4 linked regions of the Arabidopsis thaliana genome follow. The protein of the gene in region 1 interacts with the protein of each later gene in a pairwise test. Each region holds a gene or a part of one and is shown on either strand. Other genes may lie near its edges. The genes, in order: AT4G29930, MYB62, NAI1 and APL.

Region 1 (9,799 bases):
GGAAAATAAAGGAGGTCGAAGGCGGATGTTCAGACTCCCAAGAAATGCAGTTGAGGTTTGCAATTGCTTCGTCCCGGTTTTAGTGTCTTATATATGTGTAGTTTACCATAAGGGAAAGAAAAAAAAGAAGAGAAAACACCTATTACTAAGTTTTAATTTTTTTGCATGAATGTACCAGAAGCTACGTCAAGTATTTGCAGAGACTGAGCTTCCCTCAAAAGCTGTGAGGGATCGTCTTGCAAAAGAGCTGAGTCTTGATCCAGAGAAGGTAACAGTGCAGCCAAAAAAAAGTTATCTTGCGAATGTTTCTTAGATCAATCGAGGCTTATGAAACTCATTCATACAGCTAATGAACATTTGGGTTTCTTAGTTTTTTTTTTTGGTTCTACGTGTGCTTCAATATCGTTTTTTTACAGGTCAATAAATGGTTTAAAAATACTCGGTATATGGCACTGCGGAATAGGAAGGTAAATCGCTATTACTTGCTTCATTCACACATATGAACATTGTCTGGATGCCTACAGAGACTAAACTTCTTACAAGGAGATTGATCATTTGGCTGCCATTGTTTATATATGATAGACTGAGAGCGTGAAACAACCTGGGGATTCTAAGACAGTCTCTGGAGGAGATTCTGGACCAGAAGCAGTCATGGAGAACAACACTGAAACAAATGAAGTTCAAGATACTTTGGATGACACTGTTCCACCCGGATTTGACGCTACAAATCAAAACATACTCTCCCCATGTAATAACAACCAGGAGGAATTTCAACAGGAAAATGTCTCTTTTCCTTCACCCACAGATGAAAGTCAACAGTATCTGGAACAAAACGATTCTTCTTTCGTTCTAGTGGTAAGATAGAAATGATTAAGTACTGCTTCCATGAACTCGCCTTGACCAGTGGTTTTGGACAATTTTAGATTTTTAAAAGTGATTTGTTCTTATTGTGTTCAGCCACATGAAAAGCAAAGCAGCGAAATTAGCTTAAAGACGGCTGTAGAGGAGAATGAGACAGAAAGCAAGATGATGAAAGAGGTAAAATATAAATTAGCTGTTTCGCCAAAATGAGTTTCTAGAACATATCCATTAATAAAAAACCATGATTAAGTACTGCTTCCATGAACTTGGCTGACCAGTTGTTTTAAACAATTTTAGATTTTCAAAGTTACTTTTCTTTTTGTGTTCAGCCACATGAAGAGCTAAGCAGTGAAATGAGCCTAAAGACGGCTGCTGAGGAGAAGGAGACAGAGAGCAAGATGATAGAAGAGGTAAGATACAAATGAGCCGTTTCGCCAAATGAGTTCATTGAACATATCTATTACTAAAAACCATGATTAAGTACTGCTTCCATGAACTTGCCTTGAGCTCTTGACCAGTGGTTTTAAACAGTTTTAAATTTTTTAAATAATTTTTTTCTTATTGTGTTCAGCCACATGAAGAGCTAAGCAGAGAAATGAGCTTAAAGACGGCTGTAGAGGAGAAGGAGACAGAGAGCAAGATGATGGAAGAGGTAAGATATGAATTAGCCGATTTGCCAAAATAAGTTGATAGAACATATATATCTGATATTTAACAACCATGGTTAAGTACTGCTTCCATGAACTTGCCTTGACCAGTGATTCTAAACAATTTCAGATTTTAAAAGTTATTTTTCTTATTATGTTCAGCCACATGATGAGCTAAACAGCGAAATGAGCTTAAGTACAGCGGTAGAGGAGAAGGAGACAGGGAGCAAGATGACGGAAGAGGTAAAATGAAATTAGCTGGTTCGCCAAAATGAGTTTATTGAACATATCTATATTAAAGAAACCATGATCAAGTATCGCTTCCATGAATTTGGTTTGACAAGTGGTTTTAGACAATTGTAGATTTTTAAAGTTTATTTGTTCTTATTGTGTTCAGTCACATGAAGAGCTAAGCAACGAAATGAGCTTAGAAGAGAAGGAGACGGGGAGAAAGATGACGGAAGAGGAAGAATTGGAAGCAGTAATGGAGATGCTTTGTAGAACAGAAAACAAGTTACTGGACGTGACGCAGAGGCTTGATAGATTTAAAACACCAAAAGGCCGAAAAAAGTTAGGCAATTCTTCTTCTCCTTTACTTGAAGAAGACTCAGTAGTGTATGTTCCAATAGCAGAGATCAAGGAGAAAAGGTAACAATATATATATATATATCAAGAAAAGAAAAAAGTCCTTTGCAGAAGTTTTGGTATTGTTAGATTCTTTTGGAACGTAGTCTAAGAGAGTACCTAATGTAGTTTTGTGTATTATTCAGTTTGTATGTGTCATTTAAACTTCAGATAAAATCCCCCAGAAAAAAATAAAACTGGGATTTTTTTTTTAATGGAACTTTTTAGCTCTCTTTTTTGAATTATGTACATTTCGTTTTTTATTCTCTTTTTTTTTTTAATTCCCTTTTTCCAAATAACTTTGGCTTTTAATTTTAGTTTAAAAAATAATAAAGCTGAAAGATTTAGGTTCTTACAGATAGAGTAAGATTGGCAACTATATTTTTAGTTTCAACCAAGTAATAATCATAGAAAGATGATGGTTATAGAGAAAGCTTTTAGACCGAGTGTATATAGCGGTAAGAATAAATTGTTTACAAATCTGCAATTATCTGAACATAACTCCTTAACAAAGCCTACTGTCACTTTTATGAGTTTACTAAACATTTGTTGCCTAACTTTACAGATCAAATTGAAACAAATGGCAAGTCTCTCTATTTTGCAACTTACAATATGCATTTGATTCATGTTCATCAATTCAAAGACAAAGTATCCACAAAATCTTTTATAAAGTCATATTTGCTTTTTTAGTTTAACCATATTTCTTTATGTTTTTTTCTTCTTATACTCGGTTATGATTGCAATTAATTCAAATGATTTTTTTAGAAGTATAATTTTTAAGATTATAAGAAGGAACATGCATATTTTTGTTTTATTTTATTAGAAAACATCGGATGTTTTGTAGCTCAAACAAATAAACCCTCACAATAGTAGCTCTTCACATATATTGCATAAAACGGATTTAAGTAAAAAACCAGAAGTAAATTAGAAGTTGATAAGACAATTTGGATCATTATAAGCTGCGATGGCCATCTGTATCTTGGCCTCTACTGCACTGCTTTCTTCTTCATCCGCCTGCAAATTCAACGATTTACTATAATTAATACATCTATCACAATATAAACTAAAACAGTCCTATATTATTTCAATCATACGATATCTTTACAGAATTTTGAAGTAAATTAGGATTCTAGGAAGTCCAACGTCAGTATAGATTATTAAAATTAGGGGTGTTTAGGTTTTACACGAATCAGACAAAAAAAACTTCTTTTTTTTTGGCAGCACGTAAAAAGAAAATTAGAACTGATAAATTTGTGTATATACACCTGCACGCATTACTACTATAATTATTTCCCGTGGAAAATGAGATTGGTGGATAAATCATTGTTTAATGTTTTTGTATAATCTTTAAAAGGACGGATAAGGACAGGTTTGAAATGAAATGATCGACTTTTTATTTGATAAATGATTGGAGTATGATTTCACCAACTCTCAATGACTCCACTGGTCTATACCTCACTGTAATTTTAGCGTCTGATTATATTATCTTTTATCAAGAAAATGTTATAAAGGTGCATAATTCTTTTTTGTCAAAGAAAACCAACATAATATTATATTCATTTGTGAGGCAAGAAATACTCGTATTTGTTGTCATCAAAAATTTCCAACCTACAGCTTATAATATAATTACCTTTTTCAAAAAAAATAGAACGTTAGTTCACGAAACTAGCATTTTTGTAATTAGATTGTTTACACCAAAGTCCTAGTATATGATGATGATAAACAAATCAAATAGATAGAGATAATGAAATGAATTTGTATTTTTTAGAGTAAAAACACAAAATAATAACTCTTAACAAATCTGCTTATATTAAAAAGGACCAAACCTTAATTTCTACCATGAACTGCTATGGATATCATTTGGAGTAACTAATTTTTACCAAAATGATTAGCATAATGAAGACCTTATGAACCATATACAACTAGTTAACACAAATAACTTGCTAATTGGCTACAGTTGATTTGTAGCCTATTGTTAATTTGAGTTAAGAATTGATATAAGGTGTAGTGCTAGAAAAGTCACGTGCTAAAAGTGTGAAAGAGACAAACGTTGAACCGCGTGAGGTTATAAATTAGCCACGTTTTTCTAGTGCTACTATGCTTGGACGGCACTTTCTGGGACACGAGGCACTTGAGATTTCACACACTAATTTTTTGATTAAGTTAATCCTAATTTTTTATGGAATATGACATTTAACTTTTGAGAGAATCTAACCCTATCAGAAAAAGTCAAGGCGAAATTCGAAAAAAATGTGATGGGCTCGAGGCAACCTCAATAATTGGAGCTTTAATTGATTGATTAAGATATTACTGACTATATATACTTAAGGTGTAATGTGAATTAAGGTCCACTTAATGGAGACAGGTGGGAGAAAAGTAGTAATTAAATGGGTCCGTCTAAAGGTTATCCTTTTGAATTTGATAGTGATTTTCCAAACAATTCGTAAGTTTGAATTACATTTTTGTACTATTACGTAAAGATAACATATTTTCTTTACCAAAACAAAAGAACAATCCACTTTACTAAAGCACTTAGTCATATGCTTTTTATTCATATTATTAATTCTTGTCCACTAAAGGATTTGTCTACGTGCCGTCAGACGACCATTTTTCTCCCAAAATAACCAAAAAGAAAAGAAAATAGTAAGATTTGAATTTGGTATATAAAAGTCTGAATAGTTGCGACAAATTAAAAATGGACAAATATATTTGGTTGGTGTGTTTTATAGTCCGACAAGTGCATAAAACTAATTTTATAGCTGATTACAATTGATCTAACATTCTTTATTAGCAAGAATCTTCTAAACTATATTATCATCTCTTTCCATTAACATTTTATAATTTCGCTCCATGAGTGCAAAATGAGCGTCAAACCAAAACAAGACACGTACAGTATTCTCTAGATGCATTTAGAATTTTGTAGTTTGTACTAGTAATCACATTGCCAAATAAAGATATGAGAGAGGGAGAGAGGGAGAGAGTGACCTGGAGGAAGAGGGTGGTGGAGAGACGAGAGGTGAAGGAAGAGAAGTTAGTAGTGAGAATGTTGAGATTCAAAGACTCCAACACTTTACAAAGCTGCACCATTGTCTCTCTTTTCTTGCTACATGTTATGCATACCACTACCGTCTTCTCTCCCATCCATGTCACTTTCATCTGTTTTTTCATGTTTATATAAAAACAATTTGGAATAATTAACTTTACCTCAAAAGAAAGGTAATTTAGAATGTACTGCCAAATAATGCATAGTACGTACTTCGAGAACTTCAATGGGGTAGTGTTGTACTCTAGTACTGTAATCCATCTGCTTAAACTTTTTTGATCTCATGTCATTATTGTCTGAGAAATCTTGCAGATGAGTTTCCGCAAAATTGCAATCGTAATCTCTTACCGGATTTTCTAGCAATGTTGACCGTGATTCTAGCTCTCTGATCTCTGCTTCTAGAGTCTTCTCTTGATCAATAAGTTCTTGCATATAGTCGATAGAATCTTTGATGACAGATGCCTTGTCCAACTAAAAATAGATAAATATTAATACTTCAATAAAATCCAGTCTTAATCAACAAATCATCACACGTATACAATTATATGCTATCAGGGTAATTAGGGGACCAAAATACATTTTAGTATGGCTTGATATGGATTTAGAGTATCAAAAATTTGGTTTGCTTATTTGTTTAATGTTGGTTGGATTTGGTTTAACCAGATTGTATTTGTATAGTTTTATTTCTTTACAAAAGAAAGAAGAGAAAGTTTATTCGCTTATTTAATTTCTGTTGACCAAAACAAAAATTGCTGGTGACGAAACTTTATTACTAAATTATTTGGATAACAAATTAAATTTAAAAGAGACAGTTGATTAAACAAATAAGAGAAGTAATGGAATAATTAATCATACCTTGCTTATATTGGGAACAACTGACCGGAGAGCAAAAAGTCTCTGATTAAGCTTTTGCCGTCTGTTTCTCTCGGAGACAACGTTCTTCGAAGAAGCCGGCGACGTTGCCGCTCCGTCTGGCGAACTCGACTCGCCGGAACCCGAAAACGCTTCCTCCATCGGCCAACTTAAATTTTATAATTTATAACAATTTTCATTAATTACCAACTAAAGCAAGATTAATCTTTATCGGAAAAAAAAACTAAAGAAACAAAAAAAAAAAAAATGGACCAAGATTCTAGTAAGCACCTGTCAAATTCGAGTTCTTGATTCTGGAAGAACATTGTGGTTTCCCAGTAATTCTTGTACTCATGGTCGAGATCTTCCATTTTTCGGACACACAAAGATGATGCTTTCTTGAAATGGAAGGTTTTGTTATTTCTGTTTGTCCTTTCTTTCTTTCTTTGTGTCTTTCTATTGAGTGTACTATCAAAACAAGAGTGGGCCGAGGATTTTATACATAAAGAGTCTGACAGAGAGTTTTTAAGCACGTGGGATCTTAATCTCCTGAAATAATTATATACGATCTTGACCGTTCAATTCAGAGATCAAAATCTGTTTCCTTTTGTCCAATTGAAAAACAAAGAAAAGAGTGTATCGTATCTATCTCTTTCACTCACAATATGCATTATTCATATACTCAAATGGGTATAGACCGTATAGTACTTGAATTTAGGGCGTGTTCAATTCCAATTTCATTTTATTTTTGTGAGGTACTAGAAGAGTATCTGAGTATAAATGCAAAATTCTGTTCTTGTAGATATTAATCATTTGTTTTTCTTCTAATTTCGATCCTTAAAGTTAGAAGATGATGTCTAAGTAAGGAAAGAAGATACGTACTAGGTTTTTTTTAAACAAAAATAAAAGATACGTAGTTTCAGAATTCAAAGATTTAAACATAGGTAGACATCGTGGCTATGTGTATGCGTACGTAATGATTATGGCCAATAATGGTGATGATTAGTTGATTGTCAACTTTTTTTGCTAAATTTTATTGAAAATATAACCCACTTGGGTCCAGGATATTCTTTCATGTCCCTTGATTTGAATGCAGTAAATCTATGTTTTCTTCTATTATTTGTGGATATATATTTTCTTCTGATTTTTGAGTGTCTATATATTTATAAAATTCCATCTTCTTTAGATACTGTTATGAAATAAGTTGAGATATATGATTTTAACAAAGTAAGCTATAACCACGGACTTATCTAGCAATATTAAACACAAAATGTGACTGAAAAGCGAAATAATGTGGGGGTGATCCAAAATCTAAAGTATATAAAAATCAAATATCATAGACAGAAAATATTCATAGAATTAGATAATATAGCATATGCAATTTTATTCTACTGAATTGTAACTAAAGAAATATTGATTATTTAATGGTGTCAACTGAATTAAAAGTTGTGAAACGATTCGTAAAACTCTATTTATGATGGTGGAAATATTTTTTTCAATGGTTATGTATCATACATTTGAGTTCTCAGTTCTTTCAAGAATTTGTAAAACGTGGAAAGACATCAAGAAAACTGAAGACGGTCACTAAATCATACAACATACACATACTAAACAATACAACTAGTTCCACATTAATCCATTATACTCAAACTAAATCTAGTATCTATCTTATGAACTAAAAAAAAATCTAGTGTCTATCAATATGGAAAGGTTTTTACTTATATCGGCTTTGCTCCATACCCCGTGATTTTATTCAGAACTTTTAATCTGGATTAGAAATCCGAAAATACTGAGTTTGAGAAACAAATCGAAAAAAGTAAAAACTGTTTTCTCAAATCATTCGTCTCTCACTTACTAAACTCTTGAGAAAATGTGTAGGAAAAAGTTGTATTTTAATTGTATGAAATGAACAGTGTTTCGTTCCTTATGATATTGTTTTCACATTACTAAAGTCGTGGCTTGGATGGCCCAACATGATCTTGGTGATCAAAGATGATTATAATAAAATTATTTGCTAAATAAAATTATTTAACGTACTTATGTATGCTACCACGTGTATGGAGGATAGTGTATGATATGACTTGATATGGTTTTGGTTAAGAATTCATTAAAAGTCTTAATATTTAATTTATTTTGTATGCATAATCGTATTTCCTTTTGTTTATTAGGCTAATTAAAAGCTGTTCTATCTATAATCTTTGGAAGATTCATAAATTTTGATGACTCACCCACCTTGCAATTGCAAATGTATGGAATTGATTATATTGGGTCCAAATGACAACTAAACATTCCCAATATTGTCGGAGTCTAATTCTTTCGTTTCTTATTAAATATGAGGAAGTGTTTCTAGAAGAGTAAGAAGAAAATCGCAGTTCAATTTTGAAATCTACTTTTGTAGTAGAAAGCTGTATAAACAACATCCGTTCACGTTAGCTAGAATACGAAAAAATGTAACGAGTATTGAAACTCCGGTTCAATCTTACGTTACGATATCGGTTAACCAACTTCGACGACTTAAACCCATTCATCAAACAAAATGAACAAAATATGCCGATATGAGAGAAAGTAATTCGACTAAAATTCATTATTTATTTCAAAACATGCAAGAAACTTATTGGGCTGAAAAAACACATGTTGGGCTGAAGGCACGGATTGAACAGAGATATATTTTGAGTTCGGCCCAGACAAAGATGCTTAATGGTTTAGCCCGTTTGAATGTTCCAAAATTTAGTCTTGACTCTTCTTAAGTGTGTGAAGAAAAATGGTGTAAATTGTAATTTCAGTCATTTATGTAAAGTTTTGAAAATTTTCCATGTGGCCTTTTAAGTTTACAAATACAAAATAAATTTATTTAAAACTGGAAGCACGTTTAGATGAATATATAAATCAACAATAAACGAAAACGCAACATATACAAAAAAAAATAAAATAAAAAACAGCAAAGTAATTTACAACGTCCAAACAAAAATTACCAAAGAAAGTTTCCATAATTAATTACATAGAAGCTTTTTATTTTTGTTTCTTGTTCTATCTATCATAATATAACATGTAAATAATGAAGAAACTCCATCATAATATAGCGTCGTATCCTAACAAGAATTGAATAGCTACTGAAGAAATTCCATCATAACATAATATGTAAGTATTTTCTATGGCCAATCAAGTCTAGTCATAGGCTATAATTTTGGAGTAAAGTAACTATGATATTTTCTTTTTTTTTTGTCAAAGAACTATGATATTTATTTTCTTTCTAGTCGACAGTTAGGAATATAAAGAATCACTTGCGACGTATTGAGTTATTTATTTGTCTTGTGATGGAAGTAAAGAAACATTCGTTCAACAGTACCCAACAAAAGACAAATATAAAAGTGAATGACAATAAAATTTGTTAAAAAGAAAGAGCTTAATTATTCCTCTTTGACCGATCCTCTCCAATGATTTGTTCCGTTTTTCGTTTCCCTTTTTAATTTTCCTTTTTATATATAATTTTTTTATCAAACTATAGGCAGTTTGGTAACAACTAAATAAAATCATATTTTGGGCATTAATTTTTGTGCCAATCTTTGTTAAAAAGAAATTCGACTAGCAACTAATATTTACGTTTAAAAATATGTTAACCTCTTAGAGGTTTTAAAATATATATACATATTTGTTAACCTCATAGAAATTGGATTATTGTTTTCACTGTAAGCTTATCCTTCTGCAAAAAATCATTTATCACTAAGTATGAGACATAGATATACGGAGATACACATTACACAGCAAAGGTGAC
Region 2 (7,652 bases), on another chromosome or scaffold:
CTAAAAATTGTTGTTTATAAAATATTTTAGTAAAATTTTCAACATTTAAAAAAAAGAAGGTAAAGGTCACAATATTATGTTTTTTGTTGGGCAACAGTTCAGATTGAATAGGCCCTAATAGTGTAATAGTTATATAATAAATTGGCTTGATATGCACGGAATGCAACAACTTTTCTTGCCTTTGTTTTTATATGTTCATCATCTTGAAAGTCTTTGGTCAAAAATTTTAGCTCGTTCAACATACGAACCATAACCATTGGAAGACTCTTTCTCTATGTGCTATAGTGTGATGTTGATACTTACTGTCCTACAAAGTGGCCGAAAGCTTTGTGGTAAGAGACTAAAGAGAGTTTAGTCTTTTCACGCATGTGATTTTGATTTAGTCAAAAAACTTGAAAGAGATTGTTGTATTATGCGCTATCTAGCTTTTTTCATTCTTCTTTTTACCTCCGTCGACATCATTCAATCTTATTTTCTACCTCTACATTGCTCAAAAGTTTAATAATTGGTTCGACGAATGTGGATTTTATCGTGTATGAATATTCTTTAAAGAACCATAGAACCACATGGAAATATTACTCGATTTAGGAAGGAATAAGGTGCCCTTTGCCTTTGGGATTTAAGGATAATGCTGCTGACGTTATCGTACTCTTTCACTATACTTGATTCTATGCTCTCTACATGTGTATTAGTGCAGAGTGCATATGGCCTCACTTATCCTTCAATTCCTTTTTTTATTTTTCTTAAATTGGGATGGTTCATTGTTTCTATGCTCTCTACACAGTCGACATGTGAGATACGAGGTTGGTTCACTATTCACCGAAACATGACAATCTATTCATGTCTTAGGTTTGACTATAATAGTTATGGAAGTGAAGATATAATCTGTTTGAACAATGTGAACAAGATGAACTCGGAAACACGGAACAAGAAAATGAGCATATATATATATATGCGTAATACGTGTAACGTGTGGTTGTAAGATTTGGTGCCAAAACAACACTGTTTACTTTACGAGATGGTCATAACTTTTGTTGTAAAATGTCTTGTTTCATGAACTAAACCAGCTGGTGTTCTTAAGTTGGTGCCTCTTCTTAAACAATAATCTTGACTTTTGACTTTCTCTAGTCTTTCATACTAACCTACGGCCTACCTAACCATACCAACGTTAATATACCAGTGCCACCCACTCTACTTCCCCATTATTTGTAGTAAGACTTTTTTTTTTTTTTTTTTTTTTTTTTTGGTTTGTAGTATTTCTTAACCAAAAAGTAATTTAAAAGACATATTTCTCCAAACTAAAGATTAGAACATTGTACGTTAATATATTTTGTGTGAACTGAAATATTTGGTCTTTTTCTCCCTGATGTTCTTTTCGGGTTCAACCGATGGAACTATCGATTTCGGTTCATAACTTTTGATATTTCTGCGTATCTCCAAATTTTTGATAAATGAGTATTGCAGTAGAAATGTTAGTTTGGCCCATCTCGACCTTAACAAGCCATACAGTTCTACGACACTTTAAATTGAACTTGCCTATTTTAAGATCAAGGTTTGGTCTCACTATCTGCCTGGTTGTATGGTCGACCAATCCGCAGATATATAAACTATTCAGACAATATAAAGATTAAGCTTGGTGATATGTAGACCAAACATGACTTCACTTTATTTGTTTCCCAAAAATTTTTTGAACATGAGAATTTCGATTACAGTGATTAAAATAAATGTGCTTGTTAAGTTGGGAAAATATGATTTTTTTTGGTTTCACTCTAATACCATATCAGTCGAGAAGGTCCGATCGATAGCCCACTTTTTATTTTGTGTGGGTAAGGGTAACTGGAGAAAACCGCAAAAATAGACACTTAACTACTTGACTAAAAACATTTTTCAAAATATATATGATTTTATGCAATTAAAATTCCACAATATATAGATCATTGTCATTGGAAATGAATTTTGAAGATGCAAATGATTTGGCCGCGTGGATTATGTTCTTACAAAATTTGAAATTTTTTTGCAACTAACATATATCCGTAATTAATGAATATTTGACCTATACAGTAATGTTTCTATTCAAATTGGGTCCACGTTACTCATGTCTTTTCTAAAAGTATTTGGCGTTTATCCACCAGTTTTAGATATTTAATCTTTAAGTTATACAATTTTATAATTCCACGTCCATAGCAGGACCATCTACGTTTCTGGATTCGATCATAAGGAATTTTTTTTTTTTTTTTTTTTGTATATTGTCTGAAATACTAAAATCTTTACATACACAATGAGTGTGATCTATCGTTCATAACCTCTCAAAAGTGCATCAATGTTTGTTCCAACTTTTAGTGGTACCCTTTGGGTTCAAATCATTGTGGAGTTTCCATGTACTTATGAAAGGCTTTTGAAGTGACCTCCAATAATTCGATCCCATTAACAAGACTTCTCCAAAGCCACCTTTCTCTATCATTTTAGTTGAAGCTCTTTTCAGATAATTATAATAAATAATTGATGGGTCCTTTGTCTCTATTATCTTCTTGAACCAACATTGATTACTGCTGGTATACAAAATGCGCATATATTAAAACTTTTGTATGGTTTGTCTAAATGCGTATATATTAAAACTTTATGTAAGAGCATTCAACTATGTAATCAATTCTTTTATTATTATTTATGATTCGTTAATTCCACAAAAAAACGATTTATGTCAATCAAGCCAAATGCCCTGTAATATTGTCAACGATCTTACAAAGAAACACATCAAATTTGGTGAAGGGACAGATGGTTGAGTCTCTATCCCCATCATTTTAATATCTTGGATAGATCGACTCTCCTAGCTTTTGGGTTATTTCACCTGTTGAGGTGAGATTAGATATGTTTTCTTCTCACTAAAATCCACACAAGTCTCAAAGATTTCAAGACAAGAGACTACCCTTTACTATTTACTCTTAAGTCTAGTCATGTATAAAATTGACCTGGTTAGTTCATAAATTGAAGTTCCATACACTGATACAAGATTTCTTGAATTTAAAGACTTATATAACAAACAAACAAGCATTATAAATAATTATCCAAACATTGACTTTGATCACCAACTAAGAGGAAAAATTTAGACTAATTTAACATGTTTCAATTCCAATCCGAAAAGAATATGATTAAAGTTTAAAACTTCATAAAATTCCATACATTGATAAAAGATTTCATGAATTCAAAGACTTGTACAAGAAACTATCATTATAAATATTTATCCAATGACTTAGTAAGTACTCGCAACAAAGAAGATACAAATTTAACATGTTCTAGTCTCCAACCCGAGATAATATGGGTAAAAGGTTCGAAACTTTTTGCTTAGTTAAGCAAAAGAAGTATATTAGTCCATATAATAGAACCGTAGTGGTAGGCTCTACCATCTCATCTCTTGACGACTTAATTACTCCCTAAACTGCCAAATGTCATCCACATTCCACATGGGATCTTGTGTAACATCCTCGTACGCTGAATAACCATCCGCCACGTGACATTCCATTGAGATGTCCGAGTTTACCATGTAATCCTCCATGCCAGGAACATATCCTCCGAATTCTTGAACATTGCCTTCATGGAAACACATCGAGCCATCGATGATATTGGTGTTGCTTTGATCCATAAAGTGTGGAACTGTTGTTAGATGAGACATGCAAGTAGAAGTTGAAGAAGAACCGTCTATGTTGCTGAAACCCGAGTAATCTATATCTTTTTGCATACTTAAAGAGTCGTGAGATTGAGAAGGAAGAAGAAGAGAGTTGTTGTTGTTGTTTTGGGGACAACAATAAGTAGTAGTAGTGGATGAGTTTTGTTCCATCTTCTCGATCAATCTAGGGACCCAAAAACTACGAACAGCGTCAAAGAACTTGTCGCTGTTAGATTCGATGTTGAGTTGACGAGCTTGTTTTTGAACTCTTGTTCTCCAATAGTTCTTGATCTCGTTATCCGTTCTTCCTGGCAAGTACTGTGCAATCTTGGACCACCTTAGATAACAAATATTCGTTTAGGAAAAAAGAAAAAAAAAACAAAAAAAGAAAATAAAAGACTCTTGAGATATGAAAGTGACTCATCACTCACCTATTACCCCATTTAGAGTGAAGCTCAAGGATCAAAAGCTGTTCTTGAGGAGTAAGATTCCCTCGTCTTATGTCGGGTTTCAAGTAATTCAACCATCTCAATCTACAACTTTTCCCAGTTCTCTTTAGCCCTGTTCTCATTTTTGTTAAAGATAGTGATTATATAGTAAAGTCAGAGAATCTAACTAATAAACCAATATCAAGTTCTTGATTAATTACCAGCACATTTGGCGACGTGATTCCAACGACCCTCACCGTTATGGAGGATGTAATTTGTGAGAAGTGTGTCTTCCTCCAAAGTCCAAGGCCCTCTTCTTAGTTCTTCATCTTCACTTTCTTTGAAGCTCTTCTTCTTCTTCATCGAATTTTCCATACTTAGTTTAAGTTTCCTAATTACTTAATGATATTTGGTTTGTGGTGTTTTCGTATCTTTTAAGCTCTATGCATGCATGACTGTATACAGAGAGAGAGAGATAGACTTTTAGGTGCTTTGAGAAGTGAAAGTGATTCAACAGGTTCTTGGGAATTTATAGACTCGTGGTCGTGGTATTGGAAAATGTTGTTACTTTAGCCATCAGCTTGCTTTTTTCCAATGAAAAATTAATTATCACACGTTTCCAAATTAAAGTAAATTGTTTTACTAAATTAGCTTCTCTTTTTAACTCATACAAAATATTGTTATTTTTTTAACATTGCCAAGGACATTTATACATTCTAAAATTGTCAAAAAACATGTTTTAACTCATTAGTATTTGTTATCACAAAATATCTCATTGACATTTTCTTAATCGCGTCTCTGTTTTCATCTTACGCATGCAATTTTTCTGAAATTATTTTTCGAGCTACCATTGTTCAAAAGCCAACACATATATGATATATGCAAACATTTTTTTTTTAAATCATCTGGTTTTTGTTTCAGTTAAATATGACTTTCTTAAAAAAAAAAGTTTTGGATTAGTCGAATCCTGCGATGAACCCTGGTCCAAGTATATAATTCATTAGAAGCATAGAATATATCGATACAGTTTCATAAACTTTTTTATGCGACGATGAAACAGAAATGGAATTTTGGTGATTTAACTCTATGGATTAGATGTTCACGTGAAAAGAATATGGAACAGAATTTTGGAAGAAGAAAGTACGATTTAGATTCTTAAATACTAAATTAACTATACAGGAAAAGTTTACAATAGTCATATTCATAATATGCTATAGAGTTCATTTTTAACTCTTACCTCTGTGATAGTGTATACTAGTCATTTTTCTTTCTTCTACTTCTAAAATTGTCTTTATCCCAACTTTGGCTAACAGTTTTTATAAAAATTTTGGTTTTCTATTTGGTAATGTTGCTGAATATTGAGATTGAACATAGTTTAACATAATTATTGGTATGGGAACAAGAAGCATACATGATACATGTGTCTTGACTCGAGACAAACAAGATATTACAAAACCTAATAAACCACTGTCCCACAAATTATTGATTAAATAAAAATTGTACCAAAACAATCCAAAAATTGGAATAAACACTCCAAATGTTTGATCAAGAGTCAAGACTTTTTGTTTAGTAGCTTTGAGCTATTGTGGTCGATGTGGCATCATCCGAATTCATATCCATATATTACATATGGTGTAATGAATGATATAAATTCTTGTAACTTTTATGTAAATGGTAAAACTAGAAGACAGCTATTTTTAACAACAATTTTCTAGAAGCCAGCTAATTTATGCGGACTTAGTATAGCATATTATCCTTTCAAACTTTGAATATTCAAAGATTCTTCTTCCTATATTAGTTTTCATTAGCTCAAATCGTATTGTATAATATTTTGTTAAACAAATAATAATTTTGGAAAAATAAGGAAGGGTCGTGTCGCTTTACACCGGCAAGTCAAAAAATGTCTATGTGCATGTATTAAAACTTATGGTATTGCTAATAACTCTCACTTACTGTTCAACCCAATCTTTTGAAGATGATAACTCCCAAAAACCAAAACAACATGTAAATAAAGCCTAAAGACCAGGAATAAAGAAAACAAAGTCGATTTGACATTTGTGTCTTCATTATCCTCTCTTATTATATAATCAACAATGACATAATTGTTACTATGTTATTAGTAACAGTCATTTTTGTTCTATAGAATTACAGTTACATTCATTTCCTTCAAATATTATCCATATAATTGGACTAACGTAAACAAATTTAAATATTTTTTGTCGTCTACAACTCACATACGCATATTTTCAAATTTAAACTCTACTTATAGCATAACAATTAACGACGACAATAATCAAATCACGAGACTACAAAAGAAGATGATTGATTGTTACCCGATTCTCGAGTTCGTCAACATCTACAAGATATATATGATTGCAAGATTCTATCGGAGGGTTACAAGTTATGCAACTAGGTTGATCTTGAGACCAAGTTGCTATATACAAGATTCTTGTTAAAGTATGATTCGAGTCCCATACATTATACAACGAAACAATAAACATCATATACTCTGGATAATCGAAAACCTAAAGATAAGTTGGGACACAAAAAGAAAGTGTGTGTTTCAAGTTTACATATCCTTTCCAAAAATATCCATCTCATTATCGTTGTTTCCTTTTTCATATATCAATACATCTAAGAAGAAGAAGAAGAAAACAGCTTTTTGCTTCATAAACAATTTGCTGACTTTGTAATAATGCATTAAGAGAGAGAGAGATGTGAAGTTCCCAACTTGATTGATGTATATGTACTTTGAAATCGAAATGACACGTCAACTTTTATTAAAAAGAACTTGTGTTTGAGACTTTATTGAAATGATTGAGAACAAACTTGAAATCAGAGTAAGTATTACAATGCAAGTCCTAGTCGATGTGATGGATCAAAATCTTTGCAAATAAAACAGAGACATGTATTGATAGTGTAAACTGAGACCACCAGGCTTGTGTAAATTACTTGCTCACAAGAAAATAAAAGCAATTCACTCTTCTGATGGCAGGCATTCATCAACCATCTCCACGAGGTTTGGATTCTCTAGTGCAGCCGCCACACGTTCTTTATCGTTTAGTTGTTTATTCACTGCATTTTAAACACCAAGAAACCAGACATCATGTTAAAGAAGTACACTCGATGTAAAGCAAAACATGCATACCAAAAAAGATGGATAGATATTGAAAAATGACATACATGCATCTTCTGTTGCATGAGAACCAGGTGCTACCCTTATATCAATCTGAAAAATGAAGATTCGTTTCAGAGGACTGAGGCACATAAAACATTGTGCGAGTGTGTTTTAAGGCAGTCCTAACTATATATAGTAGAGGCTAGGGCTATCTTCTCTTCGCAAGTATCAAGAACAGTTGATTAAGAATGAAAAATTAAAAAATTTCTCTGCCTCATATATCATCACAAGGAGAACATGTGTTGGATCTCAGTTACGTTCAAACCACTCTCGATAATGTATAAATCAGAAAATGGGCTCAGAAGATCATCTTGACAAACTTACAGGAAAAGGGAACCGGAAAATCTTAGAAATGAAATAACAAGAAAGCTTTGTACCTTGTATC
Region 3 (8,163 bases), on another chromosome or scaffold:
ATGACTAATTAGCCTGCTATTGTCTCCGGTCCACAAAGATGTATGCGCCAATAGCAAACAATACTAACTCGATAGAATCACATAACAACAAAAAAAACATACTCGAAGTGAGACTTCAATACACATATACACACTTTTTTCGTGATGGAAATTGACAGCCGTTTTAAAATGTCAAGATGAACGTAAATGTGAAGTTGACGGCTCAATCTTGGGCCTCCAGTGAAAGGTTTCTAGTGCTAAGAGTTTTGGTAATTTTGGCTTTTTCCACTTAGCTTTCGCACTCTCATTTCGAACAATGGATTTGGAAATTAAATATGATATCGTCATCACTTTGTCTAAATTCATTAGCCTTTGTGTTAATATTGAGTAGTGGACTGAAATTGCTTTTATGATTTATGCTTCCATGTTTTTTCTTTTTACCATGGGACCACTTGTATATATTATAATTGAAAGATTAGAATCTAAATCATTATTATTATTATGGATTATTACATTCTAGCAAGGAAAAAAAGAAACCTAAATGTAACATCCCTAATTTTAGAAATATGGTTGTACATAAAGAAAGATTAAAAGAATTATTTTATTTATCAATGTTACTAAACTACACTTAATTATTTTTGGGGTTAAACATCGTGTTAAAACTCTATAATTAAACGTATTTGAGCTGGAGCACTTTTAGAATGAGTGACTTGCTTAGAAGTAATTTCTGATACATATTTAGACAATAAACAACTTTTTAAAATTGTTATCAGACGATGTTGAAGTCTACGAACTGAGAAATAGTATAGAAGACCACATACGGTGATGGTCGGAGCGTTACACTCAATTTGTTTCCTGTCAACATTTCTCAGTATATTTCTAGAAGAATCCCCGATGGAAGTAAGATCACTACAATTTTGTTGATTAAAAATTAACGATTTCCCCACCCATTATTTTTTCTTTAAATGACATTTATTGTTAGTCAACTTATGTCTTAAATATTTTTCCTATCACTGTCTAATGGGGGAATTTTAATTTTTAGCCCACTCGCAAGACACAATAAATTGTTTCAAAATTTATAACTACAACTAGTGCCTCCTCTAACCACTGTTTTTAAAGGGGTCGCTATTGTATTTTAATATTTTTATAGCAAAAAGACAAACTATTCTACAAGTATTAACTTTTCTATATGTCTATTTCTTAGTGGGGTCACAATTGTGTCTATTTTGTATACAAAATAGATACCATTTGTAGGTCTTATAAAAAAATTTGTTTAGTGAAAGAAAATTTGGTTTAAATATTTGAAAATACTAGACATATATTTCTTAAAGTATTAAATCTATTTTAAAATAATCTTGTTTATCATTTTCTTTTAACAGCTCATTCGTTGATTAATTAAGCACTGTTTACAATGTGAAAAGGTATATAAAATTTAAAAATAAAAAATAAATTTCAATTAATAAAATTTATCAATACTAAAGATTGATATAGAAGATAAGTATAAAATAAAATAATAAGATTAAAATTAATGTGTGATTAATGTTGAAAATAAGCAATGATTCAATTTTTCATTGTAAAAAGAAATGGAGGATTGTATTAAGAATATTCTCTCAAAAAATGTAAATTGTCATGTTTTCGAAATAGATTGTGTAGAATTACTTTCTCTATATTGCAATCTCATCAGAAATGTCCCGCTTTTTCAAAATCCTAGATGAGTTTGGTTCGCTCCAAGTTAAGTTTTTTTTTCTCGTTTTCTAATATTCCTCGCTCTTGTAATTTTCAAATTGATTATTTAGCTAAGACTTCTAAATCTTTAAGTTCTGATAATTCTTATGTAAACTCTTCTCTTTTTGATTGGGCTACCAATCAAAAAATGAATCTCTAATCAATGTGTAGTTGAAAAAAAAGTGGAAGATTTAGGACGAAAATATTGTTAAGTAATACTTACATAACCTTTAAAAACAAGGCATTTGGTCGACCAATCAAAATGGGAATGGGAGAAAATCATATCTCACAATTTATAATATAAATCTTGAACACTGAGATCAATAAGCAAATTTGTAACTATAGTAACCATTTTTATTTCAAAATACAAGTAAATAAAAATTTATAAGAGCCCATAGAGGTCAACTGAACTCAAAACTTTTATAAGAACACAAAAAGAATTTCTAATGAAATTTGTTTATAGCAGCATGAAGTCCCAATATAGTTAGCATAGATTTCTCGTTCTCAGTTAAAGATTTACAGATTAAGTATAATCAAAAAGTAATTAACATGAAGCCAATAAAATTAATGAACACTTAGGTACTTCATTATTGAACCAACCCAATGATATTGGGGAAAAATATATATCAAAGTATCAAAACCAATGATACAGCCATAATTAGGTACACACACCAATCCAGCTTTTGCACTCAACAAACGACAAAATCCCATATTTCGTGCATATATCTGGTTTTATTATCCAACTACTCATTATTCAACTAAACCGAGTGATCTGGTCAAAATTGGAGACCAAATCTAACACGTTTAACCACTGCGAAATTCACATAAACGTTTTTTAAAATATTATTCAGCTAACGCAACTCTTATGTTCTTCACCACTTCTTCAACTGGTCGAGAAAATTTGTTGTCCATCTGCAAATTAGATTTAAAAATCACATTAATACATAAAAATCAACAGTAAATGATAATATATAAAAAAAGATAGAATATGATAAATAAAAAAATATTAGAAGATTGATAACATACCTTAGTGAGAATGGTTATAACGAGAGTTGAATTTCCAAATGGTAAAGTGAAGCTATTGACTACTTCAAGACGAAACTTCTCCAAGGAACTTAAGATCTTAATCATACACCCTTTGTTCTTCTCACAATGGACTCTAATCAACAAATCTCTGTCTGAAACTCGGGCTTCGATCATAGGCATTGTTTGTTTGAAGATCGAAACTTCGTCCGAAGAAGAAGACAGAGGAGACGCAGCAGAGCAAGTAGAAGAATAAGATGAAGAATCATCATCTAAATACACTTGAGATCTCTTCACCAATATAATTGATTGATCCATTTTCTTGGTCACCACTCGCTCCTCCTCCAGCTTCTTTACCCGCTCTTGAAGTTGTTTCAAATGTTTGATGGCATCTTCAAGAACTGTTGCCTTGTCCGTCTACACACACACACACAAAAAAAAAAAAAACATTTAGTACAATATTTACTAGAGAACATTGTGTCACCATCCGGATTTTATGAGTAGTGGCATCCACATACAAACAAATTACAAGCCTATCATATTAAACACGATTTTTACGAGAAAAAAAACGTTTAAGAAAAAAAACAGATTTTCATTTTCAAAATGTAAATAAGAACAAGATTTTCTTATGTTTGTTGAGGTTGGAGTTTACATTTACATTTAAAGAAAAATGAGTTTCTTTTTCCGAATATATATTTACGGTTCTGGTGGGTTATTTATAAAAGAATATACTATATAATAAATATTAAACCAAACACAAATAGTTAAAGTACAATCAGAAAGAGATGGTTTATAGATGTTGACCTTTTTGAGGCCAGGAAGAAGAGCAGAGAGAGCAATCAAACGCTCGTTGAGCTTTTGTCGACGTTTTCGTTCAGCCAAAACATGTTCTTTCAATAGATGTGGTTCTCTTCTTCCTCCATTGTTAACACAATCTTTTCTTTTCGACCCCACTTTCTGATCCATGCTTACTTGGTTGGAGAAGTTCAAAGATGTCTCGACCGGGTTGGTTTTCGTGTCTGGAGACCCAAATGAGATCACTTGTGACGTGCGAGAACCAGAAGAAGAAGAAGACGACGGAGAAGAAGATGTTGAATTCATGTTGTTGTTGGTTTTCATTTGCTTCGTTGGTCTTTCTGCTAGCAACTCAAACCCGGTTCCAGATCCAGACTCGGAACCGGGGTTGGTGTTAGTTTCCCCGCATATCGGGAAATCGGATTCCCAGTCATCGATCAGATACTCGTCAGTGTCGATCATCAAATCCATAAAGCTTGAATCATCCATTACAAGAACTCTTTTTCTCTTTTGACAAGAGAGTAAAAAAAAGTTAATGTTGAAAGAATAAAACTAAACAAGAAGCTAAAGGAAAGAAAACTTTAGGAGTATATAAGGAGATATATTTTAAATTTTCCTTTGTTCTGGAGTATGTATGATTTTGTTTTGTTATGTGAATGTGGTCGAGTGAACTCTTTATAGTGGATCTATATGATTTTGTTTTTTATAATCATTATTTTGCAGTATACAATTAATATCTGCATGGAAAAAGAGCATATGGTTTATAATTGTTATATGAATTTGGCTGACGAATCGCATATCCGTTTACCCGATCCGGTAGGTTTAGCAATAATAAATTTTAGTAAATTAAAGGTCCTGAAAATAATTAAATGTGGGAATTGTTTTGGTTGAAATTGGTATTAATAGGTGGGGATTTGAGTAGCCACCGATGCGATGAGATCTGGCATTGGAAAACTAACAAGACTTTAATTAAAGATCAAAATCATGTGATTCGTACCATAAATGTATCCATCTTGATAGAAATATAGATTTGTGAGTCTATGACTTTAGGTAAGAAAAAAAAAAACCACAGCCCATCACGTGGACGAATTAGATTAAATGTAGATAAAGCATATGACATATGGATAAACTGGAAGAAAACAATGATAAATATTGTAAGTTTTTTTATTAGACAAAATTGTGATAGTTTGTGCAGTATTTAAATAGACCACGAAGAAAATTGTCAAAATCGATCGTTAGGAGCATAAAAAGTTATTTTCGAAGATCTTTCGATGCTCAAAATTAGAAAAAAAAAAAAAAATGCAGATGCAAAAGAGGATATGTAAATGCTCTGTTAGTTTAAGTGTTTTGGGTATTTGCATAGTATATTTCAGAAAATTGAGGTTTTAAGTAGTCTTGAAGATATCATATTATGGGTCTAAAGTTCATATATCATTTTATGATTAGCTCGTACTTGATAGTTGATAGCTAATATTTACCCCTAATGATATAAGTAAGTTATCATGTTCACTATTTTAAACACTGATGATGCTTGTTCAAAAAATAAAACAAAACCACTGATCGTGCCAACACATCAAATGATCAACATATAAAGATTTGAACTCAACTCCCCACGTGTTATTGCAAGTAACTTGGTCCCACTACAGATCCGAATTTGCTTATCAATGTCCAAAATCATTAGTTTTATTATAAGAAAACTCCAATAAAATCCAATCCTTCGTGACGTAGAATAGATTTTACGCTTATCATATAGATGATAATTGGATATTTATATTCTAAAGCCAGTAGAGGTTGAAAAATACTATGTTTATATAACTCCTACTTGTTTATGCAATAATACGAGGCTCCCGTTGAATCTGTCTGGACAAATTAAAAAATAATAATTAACTGTGATTAAATAAATGGTGAAATATTTAAGTTATAATTGAGTCAAATTTATAATTGAGATTGTGAATAAATTATAACTTAATTATAAATTAGTTACTTATGAAATTAAGATTAGTTCTATACACAATCTTAATTTCCGTGCTTCTTTGTGAATCGAAGATCTATAATTGAGTTTGTGTATAGAATTACTAATTAAGTTATTAATACAGCAGCGCAGATTCATGATTGTTCCAAAAAACTTTAGCAAAATCAATATTTTTCCAAAAAACACTTTTAAGAATTATTTTTTACTAATTAATTTAAAAATTCAACCATGATATAAAAGATTCCAGAATACAAATAGTCAACTATATTTCACATTGCATAGGAATTTGTAAAATATCCTATATGCTTAACTGGTTATGAGACGGATTGCGGTTAGTAAGAATAACACAAACACTAAAAATGATTTTTAGGGGTTTAAAATTTAAAATTTTGGGTTTGAATTTAGTATTTTGGGATTAGGGTTTAATTTTAAAGGTTATTTTTCAGGATTTAGGATTTAATTCTGAAAATTTTATATTTAGTTTTAGTTTTGTGGTATTTAGGAAAAAATCTTTTAGTAGTATTTTTGAAAAAAATAATCAAAAATACTAAATGGTATTTTCCGAACAAAATCATTTTAGTGGTCTTTTTTAGAATTGCCTTTTAATCTATGTTTTCCACGTCCTCATAACCTACCAATCAAAGCCATAATATTATATCGAAGAAGTTTTTCTACGTAAAGTGAGTTTACAATATAGATTTTGCTGTTAATTTCCTTTTTTTTTAATAATTAAAATACAATAAATACCATAATAATCACTCTTTGTGAAGTTGTCTCTGGAACCATTTTCCTATCCTCGTGAATCATGTGTGATTAATTGTTTTGCCTCATTATTGCATTAATATTATTATTAATAGTATTTTTTAGGTCAATGCATTCTTATTATAATATACCGATTGTTCTTATATATAGCAAAGAGATCAAAACTAATTCTAGGACCTGGGATCGATTAACCCAATAATAAATATTTTTTATAGCGACAACATATGTGATATAGTGGTTTGTTTAAATATCATCCATGTGTCATGCCATTCGTAATTAAATTTACAATATGCATTGCCAAAAAACAAAACAAAAAACACATTTGTTGTGAATGTAATCATTTTCCATACAACTTACATCCATATATGAAGGGATAATAATTGTTTTGATAATTTTGGTTACGGGCTCAATGAAGTCTTGATGTCTTTTTTTCTGTTTTTTTTTTCTTTTTGTCTTGATGTCTTTATTCACATCATTAATTGGTGAATTGAAAAAAATGTGGTTCAGTGTACCTCAAGCATACAATGTTACTATACATAACAAATATTTATCACCAACAGTGTTTATGTGGATAATAAATAATTTTTTCCCATATTGCAATGCTTTTTTTTTTTTTGTGTAAGCACCATATTGCAATGCATATTAAGATGAACAGAGAGAGTATTAGTTATACGTCTTGATTAATTATAATTCAAAAAAGAAATAACAATTTGAGATCTGTACGAATATACAAACAGGCAAACACCAGATTAATTAGTAGTACTCGTACATGTCATTACTTTACTCTTTATCTGAATTATTTAATACAAATAATTTAAATGGTTCGTGAATAATATATAACAAAATTGAGTAAAAATGATTTCATGATATATCCACCTTTAAGATGCTATTCTTTCTGGAAAAGATTGAGATCCATTTTATTAAAGCCTTTATAGTTTATATCAGTTAATGATCTCCACCCTCCATGTTACTCCTTACAAATTTTATTTATTGTTATTGTCTACATATTAATTGCGGAGATTTATGATGATAAACAAATATCGAATGAACCTTCTCACTACAAGGATCGTTTGAATAATTTAATGGAGTACATAAACTCCACATTATCAAAGAAAGATTTTCAGTTCACTCTTAATTTGTTTCCAACAAAAACTTTTGGGTATTTTTGAAACTCGTCAGATTGAACATGATTTGTAGATTGTAATCTAAGTTGTGGTTATGCTAGTATTATACCACGCTATCACCATCTGGACTTTTTTTTTTGTTTATAATTTATGTTGTTAAAAAACTGAACCTTCAAATAATTTTTCTATATACATGAAAAAAACAAAAATCATCTCCACAAGTTTAAAACTGTGGTTATGGTTTTATGAATGTTCGTTAGTAAATATTTCTAATAAGGAAAATCCGAATTTCTAATTTTTTTTTTGTATTATGGATGTTCGTTATCAATTCTGGAAAAAAATTTATACCTAACAATTGATTAAGACTACTCTCTCAAGTCTTAACGCTTTTAAAATGTATTTCGACAAAAAAAAAAAAACGCTTTTAAAATGTAGATGAATGGTTACAAATGCATTTACTTACATAATGCAATGTTTGAACGACGATTGATTAATTCCTTAAGTTATCAATAACAATGATATTTAAAGGTGATGTTGACTACGTAATAGAGCAAACACGTGATTTCTCATGTATACATATGGCCACGCTTTTGATAAACTTTCAACTGCAGTGGTTAGAGACTTTAGAGTTAAATCGTCCCGAGAGTGTTTTTTTCATTAAATATAACAATTTTGATTACAAACTAGTGTCCCGTGAAATTGACTTCTTCTTTTCCCACCGAATTTAGTTTTTTCATCTGCATGCTCTGAATGATACTATAATAGCAAATTAGACAATATAAT
Region 4 (8,300 bases), on another chromosome or scaffold:
TAAAAGTCTACGATTAATTCTCAAGATCGGAAATGGTCACAACACGAAACCAGAATCGTCATTACCGCCAATCGGATTGATGATTCTCAACTAGGGATTTTCCTTTTTCGTACTAGGGAGGATATATAACATTCTTATTGGACTTATCTTAGTGGGCATTATATGGAAGCCCAGTCTGATTCTTCAGCGTAAACAAGAAACTGATGCAAATGGGCTTTTCTTCTCTATTCTTTTTTTTTTTTTTTAATGTAACAAATCTAATGATTTATTTTTCTTTCCGTAATAAAAATATATGAATAGTTATTTGAATTTTTTGGAAAATACTCAAAATAGGTTAGAACTTAGAAGTAATGGAAAAATGACGACAGTAGAGAAAGAAGGGACAAGAAAAATAGATGCTTCGGGAATGTACTTTGTTAAGAGAGCATTCTACATCAACACATACCAAAAATAAAGTATCATTTTGAAAAATATAGAATATCAAAAAGAAGTATATTATCTTCTTCTTCTTCTTTTTTTTTTTTTTTTGGAAAACAGAAGAAGTAAGGGAGTAGAAAATGGAATCCAAGGTCGAGATCGTAATGAGGTGCCTACAGAGGATTTGTATGGAAGAATGTGCATAGACCATCCAAGACCGTTACCTTTATTACTTTATTTGTTTATTATAAGTACTTTAGTTTGCTTAACAACCATAATAATTACCATATGATATGTGTACAAACATTAGCTTTACTATTAGCCTATTTAAAATTATGATATACAAGTAAAGCTACGATCACATGCACGTTTATGCATGTGAATGCGAAAAAAAAAAGTAACAGAATGAGATGTTCAGATGGATATATATTAAAAAGCACCGAATAGTTATAATAATTAACTTGTGGTTGGTGTGATTTTATTGTGAAATGAATATTCACAAAACATGCATCATCGTCATTTCGTCGGATCCACTTTGTATATAATGCATCTTCACAATTAAATTGATTATTGTACCATAACTAATTTATTGATAAAGTATATGATATTTCAAATGTATCCCCAAATAATAATTATTTTTAGTTATAATTTATATAGTATTTTTATAATAATAAATAAATAAAAGAAATTTATCTGATTTATTTTTTTTTGTTTTTAATTATTATTACATGGTCGTCTACTCTTTTTTGTCTTCAAATCCAATTAATTAAATAGAAGGAAAAAAACCGAGGAACGTAATTAGAGGGAATTAGTGGGGGCGTATGTAAAAGGAGAAGAGAAGCTTCCTCGAGAAGTGCATACATGGGAGTGCGTTAATATCTCTATGCTTCTCCTTCTTCTTCTTCAATTCTCTTTTTGCCTTTTGTTTTCCTCAGCTTTTAGAGAGAGTGAGAGAGACTGAGAGAGCTTTCTCTTTTACTTGCCAACTTGCAGTGATGACCAGATCTTTATATTTTCTCTCTCTGAACCCAACAAAGTTGATCAGTAATAATTTATATAAACATATACATATATGAGCCGTAATTTGTAGTTGTGACTAAATGGATGCATCGAGTAAGTAAAAATCATAGCAGAGCAAAAATTCTGAATTACAAACATTTTTTCCCGATGTTTGTAAGATCTATAACTAAGCTCCTGAAATTCAATTAAGAATGATCAGTGTAATAATTTTCTTTTGTATAAATATATGTCCTAATTAGTGGTCATATGAAGCAGAAAAGAAATAAAAGAATAAAGAACAAAGATATATACGGAAGGAAAGATAGATACTCAGTGTCGGTTAATTTCTCTTATGACAAGTTCTTTTATTTCTTTTGAAAAGGATCTTGTAGCTATCAATCTCTACATACACACTTACTTACATATGCGTACAACTGCATACACATATACATAGTAGTATCCTACAAAATCAAGTGACTATATATACATTTGAATCAAAGTTTACAGCTTTTCTTGGTGTTTGCATGTGGTTTTCCCAAAACCCTAAAAACCTTTTGCTTTGATGGGGATCATCATCATCATTATCACTTGCGCTGTCCTTTCTTTTTCGTATTTACTTATGATTTTTTTTTACCATAAACTTTATTTTTAAGTTTGATTGAAAATTTAGTTTCCCGATGCAGATATCCCATTTTAGCGTAATCATATATAAGGCATCAAGTACAAACTAACTTGAGATAGAAATAACTAACTCATGAAAAAGCAAAGGGCCCTTCAAAAGCTTTAAAATATCGTACATGCCTTGAAACATGAGCAACCTAGCTCTTAACACATAAATGTTTATTATTTGTCATATATACAGTTACGTTCATGCATGGGATATATATACTGGTTAAGGTAATATACATATGTACTGATTTATCATATACATGTACTAGATATACTTTAGTACATTCACATTTTATATGCCTCTAATTGGCAAACTGTCAAATATGAAAATCGTACAAGTATGTACATATGAAATAAAATTGCGGATGTAAGAAATTAAACTTAATTTATTTGAAATTGCCATTAAAAAAAGCTATCAAACATAGAATATGAAAATAGCTAGTTAACCATAAAAGGCAACTACAGATTTTATGTGGGTGATAAAAGAATAACAAAACATATATTCGGCAATTCTACTGAGACTAACAATGTAAAGATCAATCATCAAACAGTTGACTAGAAGAAATAAGTAACGAATAAGTACAAAATATATAGATCCTAAAATATTATAAGAACAGCAATAATATATAGTTTCCGTACAGATTATAAAACACGAGCAAAACTAATCCGGTAAACATAACAAAGCTTATATATTTTTTATTTTTTTTTGTTTTGTTTTGTTTTGTCTCATCTCTAAACCCTACGTCAAACTCACAATGACAAAACATATATATCTCGTTCTTACATTCCCATGCATCACTCATAGATAAAAATTAATAAATTGTATCACCCAAATGGCGAGTTTCTTCCTTGTATTAATCCACCATTAGGGTTCATCATAGGACTCAATGGTGATCTCCTAGGCGATGGCCTTTCCAGTAATTTCCCACCATTATTCCCTTCATCACCTGATAAACCTGATTTCCTTTCGTAGATCTCCGACAAAGAATCCAAATCCGTGGAGACATGTGTAGCCATCTGTATCTGAATTCTATGCTCATCATCGATCGATTGGTTTGCGGAAAGATCGTGATCTTGATCAGACCACATCAATAGTCCTTTCCTTACATCGTTACCAAAATTAGGATTAGGTCGCTTCTTCCCCAAGTAAATGTTGGTGTCTGCAGCATTGTTACCCGTGAAATGGTTCTCTATGTTTTGATGATGGAAGTTGTGATGGTCGAGGACTTGGTCGGTTGTGTTTCCATAGATGTTTAGGTCTTGAAACGGCGGGAAACTAAGAGGATGAGGAGGTGGGCCCACCGCTGCTGAAAGACTCGAACTTCCCAGATTACCCTTGTATCCTCCTCCGACGGCGGCTGCTGCGGTGGCGGCTGCCATGTTCTCACCGGCTAGGGTTTGGCAAGCTCTCTCCAAGATAGATTGCATGTACTTTCCTTGTGCTTCAATCCTCAGTTGCAGATGTCTTTGCACCTATAAAAATTGAATGAAATCATTTACTATATTTATGGGATACAAATTGATTTTGTACAAGCAGTTATCATAGAATATCTATAGGTTAATTAATTACCTCTAGCTGTTCATGCAACCTTCTCTGCACTTCCATTTGCATCCTGATCAAACCAACCTGGTGTGAGTTGCTGTAATATATATTAAAATGAAAGTTGAGAAAATTAACGAAATCTGATTAAAATATTACTCATTCATGTTGCGACTCATCATGCCAGAAGAAGAAGCTACGTTGCGCTGAATATCCATGGCAGAAGCTACACGTACGGTAAAAAAAATTAGAAGAAGACGGATCAAAGAACATATATATACATTAATACATATCTATATTATGGGTAACTTTTTTATAAAAACCCTAATTTGATAGAGAAAGGAAGAGTGGTCACCTCTTGAACCTTCCTTTGTGGAGTGATCTCCGTACTCCTTGTGCGGCTGCTTTCCAAGCCTGAATTTCTGCACCCATAGATCCAAATAAGTTGTTAGATTATTATATTATATTATTAAGTGAAAAAAAGAATAGAAAAGATAAAGAGGAGAGAAAATTAAAAGCAAGGAAGAAAAAAACCCTAATCTATATTTGTGTACATACCTGAAGATGGCTCTTTAGGTGGTAAAGAGTAAGACCCTTCACACCCATAACTCTCATAATCGTCTTTGGGGTCGCTTCTGCAAATAGAAATGATCAAAAACTTTGAAAAAACACATTTATAATTGGTTAAATGGATTGAATATATATTTGTGTATGTGTGTTCATACTGTCGGGGCCGCCGAGCTGAGCGACGGCGTCCACAAAACGCTCGTGGAGTTCGACGGTCCAACGCAAACGCGGTTTAGGGTCGGTGGTGAGGACAAGGCCTGAATCGCCTTGAACGCACATAGCTCTGTTCTCATATGAACCATTCATACTTGAAGGTTTCTTAGCATGGAACATTCTCTCTCTCTCTCTCTCTGACTCTCTTTCTCTCTCTGAAAGAGGGGATTCAAGAAACGAATGTGATGCAAAAATGTGAGAGAATACGATGCGTTTTTGAAGAGATCAGATGACGGCTTTTTTTTCTCTCTCTCGTCTTTTTTGTTTTGTTTGTAAATAAATTATGGTTTAGTTAAATATGTTTTATCGTTAGTAAGGAAGAGAACTAAAGTTTCAGACTAGTACACAGACGTTCCTTTGTGAAAAGATACTGTCGCTATCTTTTTCATTTGTGTTTTTTATCCTCTTAGCTTGAATACCTTTGAATTTCTTTCAATATAAAATGTGTGTAAAAGCCACTATACGTATACATTAAGTAAATCATGTCTGTCTCAGATTATTAAATTACTGCGCAAACTTAAAATAATAGTATATATTAGATATTAAATTGATATCTTTGGGGGAAATTGAATTTTGAACATCGGAGATCTCATATCAAAACGGTTATGGATGTGACGACGAAAAAAACAAAAAAAAAAGACGAAAAAAAGCGGTTACGGATGTATCTAATATATATGCATGATTTGTTGCATGATGGTTTTTATTTCTTTATTTCCTGATATAAACATTAAAATGACTTGAGATATCTAAGTTAAAATATAATTCACCTGAATCAAAGATATTGCACATCTATTATTCTTATATTTTTGGTTTCTTTTTCTTTACTACCTTATAATTTAGAAGTAATTTTTAAATCCAAATTTATCATACAATTGTTCTATATACTATTTTCTTAATCATGCTTGATTTGGAGTAAATAGTAATCAAAGATTTGTAAATATTTTCTTTATAGGAAAATATAAACTTTTAAAGTGAATATATTAAAGTTCTATGTATTCTATTCAATTAAGACCGCACGAGGAGAGTCGTATACTAGACTTATAGTTTGTCTACATCGTCATATATCGTAATTGGAGGCATACATACAAATATCTTAACGAAACAAATTCCACAAGGCTAGGGATTTTATCATTTATGGTAGGGTAAACCTTTTTGGCTAATTATGAGGTGAATATACAATTCTAAGCAATGATGAGCTTCGTTATAAATTAATAGACCGTATATTTTTGGAACAAATTTATTATATACATGCAATCCAAAACCGTTAGGTACGGTGGAATATTTGTCTACGACAAAAACGTTTTCCATTCATCGATTAGTAAAAGATGTAGTTTACATCCGCAATTAACTAGCTAGCAAAAGAAAAAAGAAACAAAAAGGTGAACAAACGAGATAATTAACTAAATTACTTGTATGGACACTACAAACCAGAAAATCAACTTTGTTAATATTGCCCTATTAGCTACTAAACTAGCTTATGTATAGAACGACGATGCATTTTTCAATATACAAACTAAAATCATATATAATTCATATACGCAACGATTTAGATTAACCCCTAAATTCAATTGCATGCATGTAAAATAAATGGTCAACCTAAATATATATGAGTGGGAGGTCCCATAGCATATTTACATAGAACAAGAATAAGTCAATGAATATGGCTGAGGCTGATATGCACACACAAAAAAGAGAGAATATTATCTAAGAATAAAATTTGAATTGAATCAGAAATTTATTAGAGGTTATATATTAAGTATTAATTAAGGGAAAGCATGTACATGTTAAAATGTAGACCAATACCAGTCAATGAATATTGAATTAAAACAAAAAAATTAACATAAGAATATGGAACAATTTTTTAAAGTTATACATATTATAAACACGGACTATTAATATGTGGAGAATTATGCATCAATGTGTAAAGATAGAGTTAACGTTGGGGACCTCTTCTTCTACTTATTAAAGCTCTTTTATTCTTTTTATTTTTACCATATGTTTTTCTTCTTTTCTCCATTTTAATTTATTGGTTAAAGCTTGCTGGGGCTATAACCTTTTTTGGCTTTTGTAGGACTGACGATTGTGCAGCTATACATGGTAACACATTTTTCAGATATTAATTTCTTGGAATAAATAAAAAAACAGTGTTTTTCTTTGCCAGAAATGTTAAAAATCTTGGCTGTGAAACGAATTATTTGTACAATAAATTAAATTAATCAATTACCGCACACAATTCTGACCAAGATAAAATAAGAAAATGGTTATAACTTTTGAATTTAAATATTAAATCAAAGTTCAAATTGCATGAGAATTGGAATCGATTCTTCTCCTCTTTGATGAATAAAGATAGATTCTTATTGCGCCAACAATATTAAAAAATGAAAATACAACTCCCGCGATAGATGCCAACCGTATAAACTTGGCCAGCCACATTTACATAGTTTACTAGACTTTTTATTTTTTCTTACCACTTTTTGAGTATAGATACACACATATATTATTCCTACTTATATTATCACGATATTTGTGTTTTCACAATCATCATCACTATTATCTACAAAATTGATTCATAGTGATATGATGCATATTAGCATTAGCAAATCATCCGCCCTAAAATCATTTAAGTTCTCATCTTTCTTTATTAATGTTTTCAATAATGATTTTAAGCTAAATTGTATTTTGCTTTGAAAAAAAGAAACCAAAGTTTTTGTTTTTAGTTAAACCAAGTAAAGCTAATGTTTAACTTTTAGCTAATTGTTGTTGAAGCAAACTAAGAGCTTAAAGAAAGAAAGAAATGAAATTAGTGACAATAAAGTAAGTCGGCTTATAAAAAAATAGAGGCCACAGTTGCTTGAACTTCAAGCATCTTTTTGTGATGGTGCTTTGGGATTTCTTCTCCGAAATGAATATATTCCTTCTAACCTTCTTATCTTTTCCCCACTTAAAAAAACTACAAACAAAAATAAAATCCCAACTTTGGCATAGAGCCATGTAATCTAACGCTATTTTGAAACATAACTGATCCAATTTTTTTGAATAATTAATATTTTAATATATAACACTAAATTCGATAAATCGATCGACTGTTAATAAGTCATAATCCTCCAAAACATTGTCACATGAGACATAAAGCGTTTATAAATAGTAATGACAAGATACTGATGAAAAAAGAAAAATAAACCCAATCGATTTCTAAAAATTGCTGATAAATGAAGCAAAGAACAACAACGTTTATTTTTTTATTTTTTTGGGTATATCCAAAGCAAAAATTGTCCGAATTACAAAAATTAACGTAAAACAAAGAAAAAAATAACGTAAACAAAGATAAATAAAATGGAAACCCCAAATTATTACTTAAAAATCATGCTAACAATTGGTCGTAGACCAAATCTTTATTTCTTAAGAAGTATCCTCCGAATCCTTATTATGTTCCACAGTAAGCTTTTATTAGAAGGATACGAGTGGAGGAGAAAAACTTACAATTTCTAAAGCTTTTCAAACAAACCAAATCAGTGTCTATTCATATCTCCCAAGCATACGTATTTGATCTGCGTCAAAGCCAAGAGCCCAGAATCAATAAATGAAAAGTAGTAATTTGCAAAACTTTATGCTTATAAACAATTCAAAAGACAGATTCGCATCGATAGTCTCTGTGTTATAGTTGGAGTTTGGGAGCAATCGCATGACAGGAAAATGTAAAACTAACCACCTATAAGGCTATAACCTTGCAGACTTTATTACGTAGATTTCTAATATTATATAAGACCTATCAACTGAAGCGAGTTCAATAAGAGAGAAATGAGTGTTGTGAGTTACCTCAAGGTATTCGTCCATACCATACTTGGATCCTTCCCTTCCAAGACCAGACTGCTTCACTCCCCCGAATGGAGCCACC

What was found.
Region 2: the proteins of AT4G29930 (region 1) and MYB62 interact in a two-hybrid assay, tested with the Arabidopsis thaliana proteins (one large-scale study listed by BioGRID).
Region 3: the proteins of AT4G29930 (region 1) and NAI1 interact in a two-hybrid assay, tested with the Arabidopsis thaliana proteins (one large-scale study listed by BioGRID).
Region 4: the proteins of AT4G29930 (region 1) and APL interact in a two-hybrid assay, tested with the Arabidopsis thaliana proteins (one large-scale study listed by BioGRID).

The regions. Positions count from the first base shown.
Region 1 is NC_003075.7:14,640,707-14,650,505, reverse strand, and holds AT4G29930 (basic helix-loop-helix (bHLH) DNA-binding superfamily protein), read right to left. Parts: upstream 6,513-9,799; 5' UTR 6,399-6,512; coding exon 6,319-6,398; intron 6,197-6,318; coding exon 6,031-6,196; intron 5,647-6,030; coding exon 5,389-5,646; coding exon of another isoform or gene 5,338-5,388; exon of another isoform or gene 5,289-5,337; coding exon 5,001-5,288; 3' UTR 3,147-5,000; downstream 1-3,146. Other genes in the region: PRHA (pathogenesis related homeodomain protein A), read left to right, coding at 1-55, 179-268, 417-467, 583-855, 958-1,038, 1,191-1,271, 1,433-1,513, 1,671-1,751 and 1 more.
Region 2 is NC_003070.9:25,600,654-25,608,305, reverse strand, and holds MYB62 (myb domain protein 62), read right to left. Parts: upstream 4,631-7,652; 5' UTR 4,465-4,630; coding exon 4,311-4,464; intron 4,223-4,310; coding exon 4,093-4,222; intron 3,999-4,092; coding exon 3,422-3,998; 3' UTR 3,125-3,421; downstream 1-3,124. Other genes in the region: AE7 (MIP18 family protein (DUF59)), read right to left, coding at 7,067-7,164, 7,273-7,318, 7,645-7,652. UniProt on the Arabidopsis thaliana protein: Transcription repressor of phosphate (Pi) starvation-induced genes. Negatively regulates Pi starvation responses via the repression of gibberellic acid (GA) biosynthesis and signaling.
Region 3 is NC_003071.7:9,680,706-9,688,868, reverse strand, and holds NAI1 (basic helix-loop-helix (bHLH) DNA-binding superfamily protein), read right to left. Parts: upstream 4,308-8,163; 5' UTR 4,012-4,307; coding exon 3,532-4,011; intron 3,145-3,531; coding exon 2,731-3,144; intron 2,617-2,730; coding exon 2,548-2,616; 3' UTR 2,256-2,547; downstream 1-2,255. UniProt on the Arabidopsis thaliana protein: Transcription activator that regulates the expression of at least NAI2, PYK10 and PBP1. Required for and mediates the formation of endoplasmic reticulum bodies (ER bodies).
Region 4 is NC_003070.9:29,874,611-29,882,910, forward strand, and holds APL (Homeodomain-like superfamily protein), read right to left. Parts: upstream 4,670-8,300; 5' UTR 4,526-4,669; coding exon 4,351-4,525; exon of another isoform or gene 4,261-4,350; coding exon 4,184-4,260; intron 4,048-4,183; coding exon 3,981-4,047; intron 3,852-3,980; coding exon 3,785-3,851; intron 3,699-3,784; coding exon 3,656-3,698; intron 3,559-3,655; coding exon 2,911-3,558; 3' UTR 2,618-2,910; downstream 1-2,617. Other genes in the region: ALDH5F1 (aldehyde dehydrogenase 5F1), read right to left, coding at 7,915-7,953, 8,222-8,299. UniProt on the Arabidopsis thaliana protein: Transcription factor required for phloem identity. Has a dual role both in promoting phloem differentiation and in repressing xylem differentiation during vascular development. Regulates the expression of the transcription factor NAC045 (AC A4VCM0).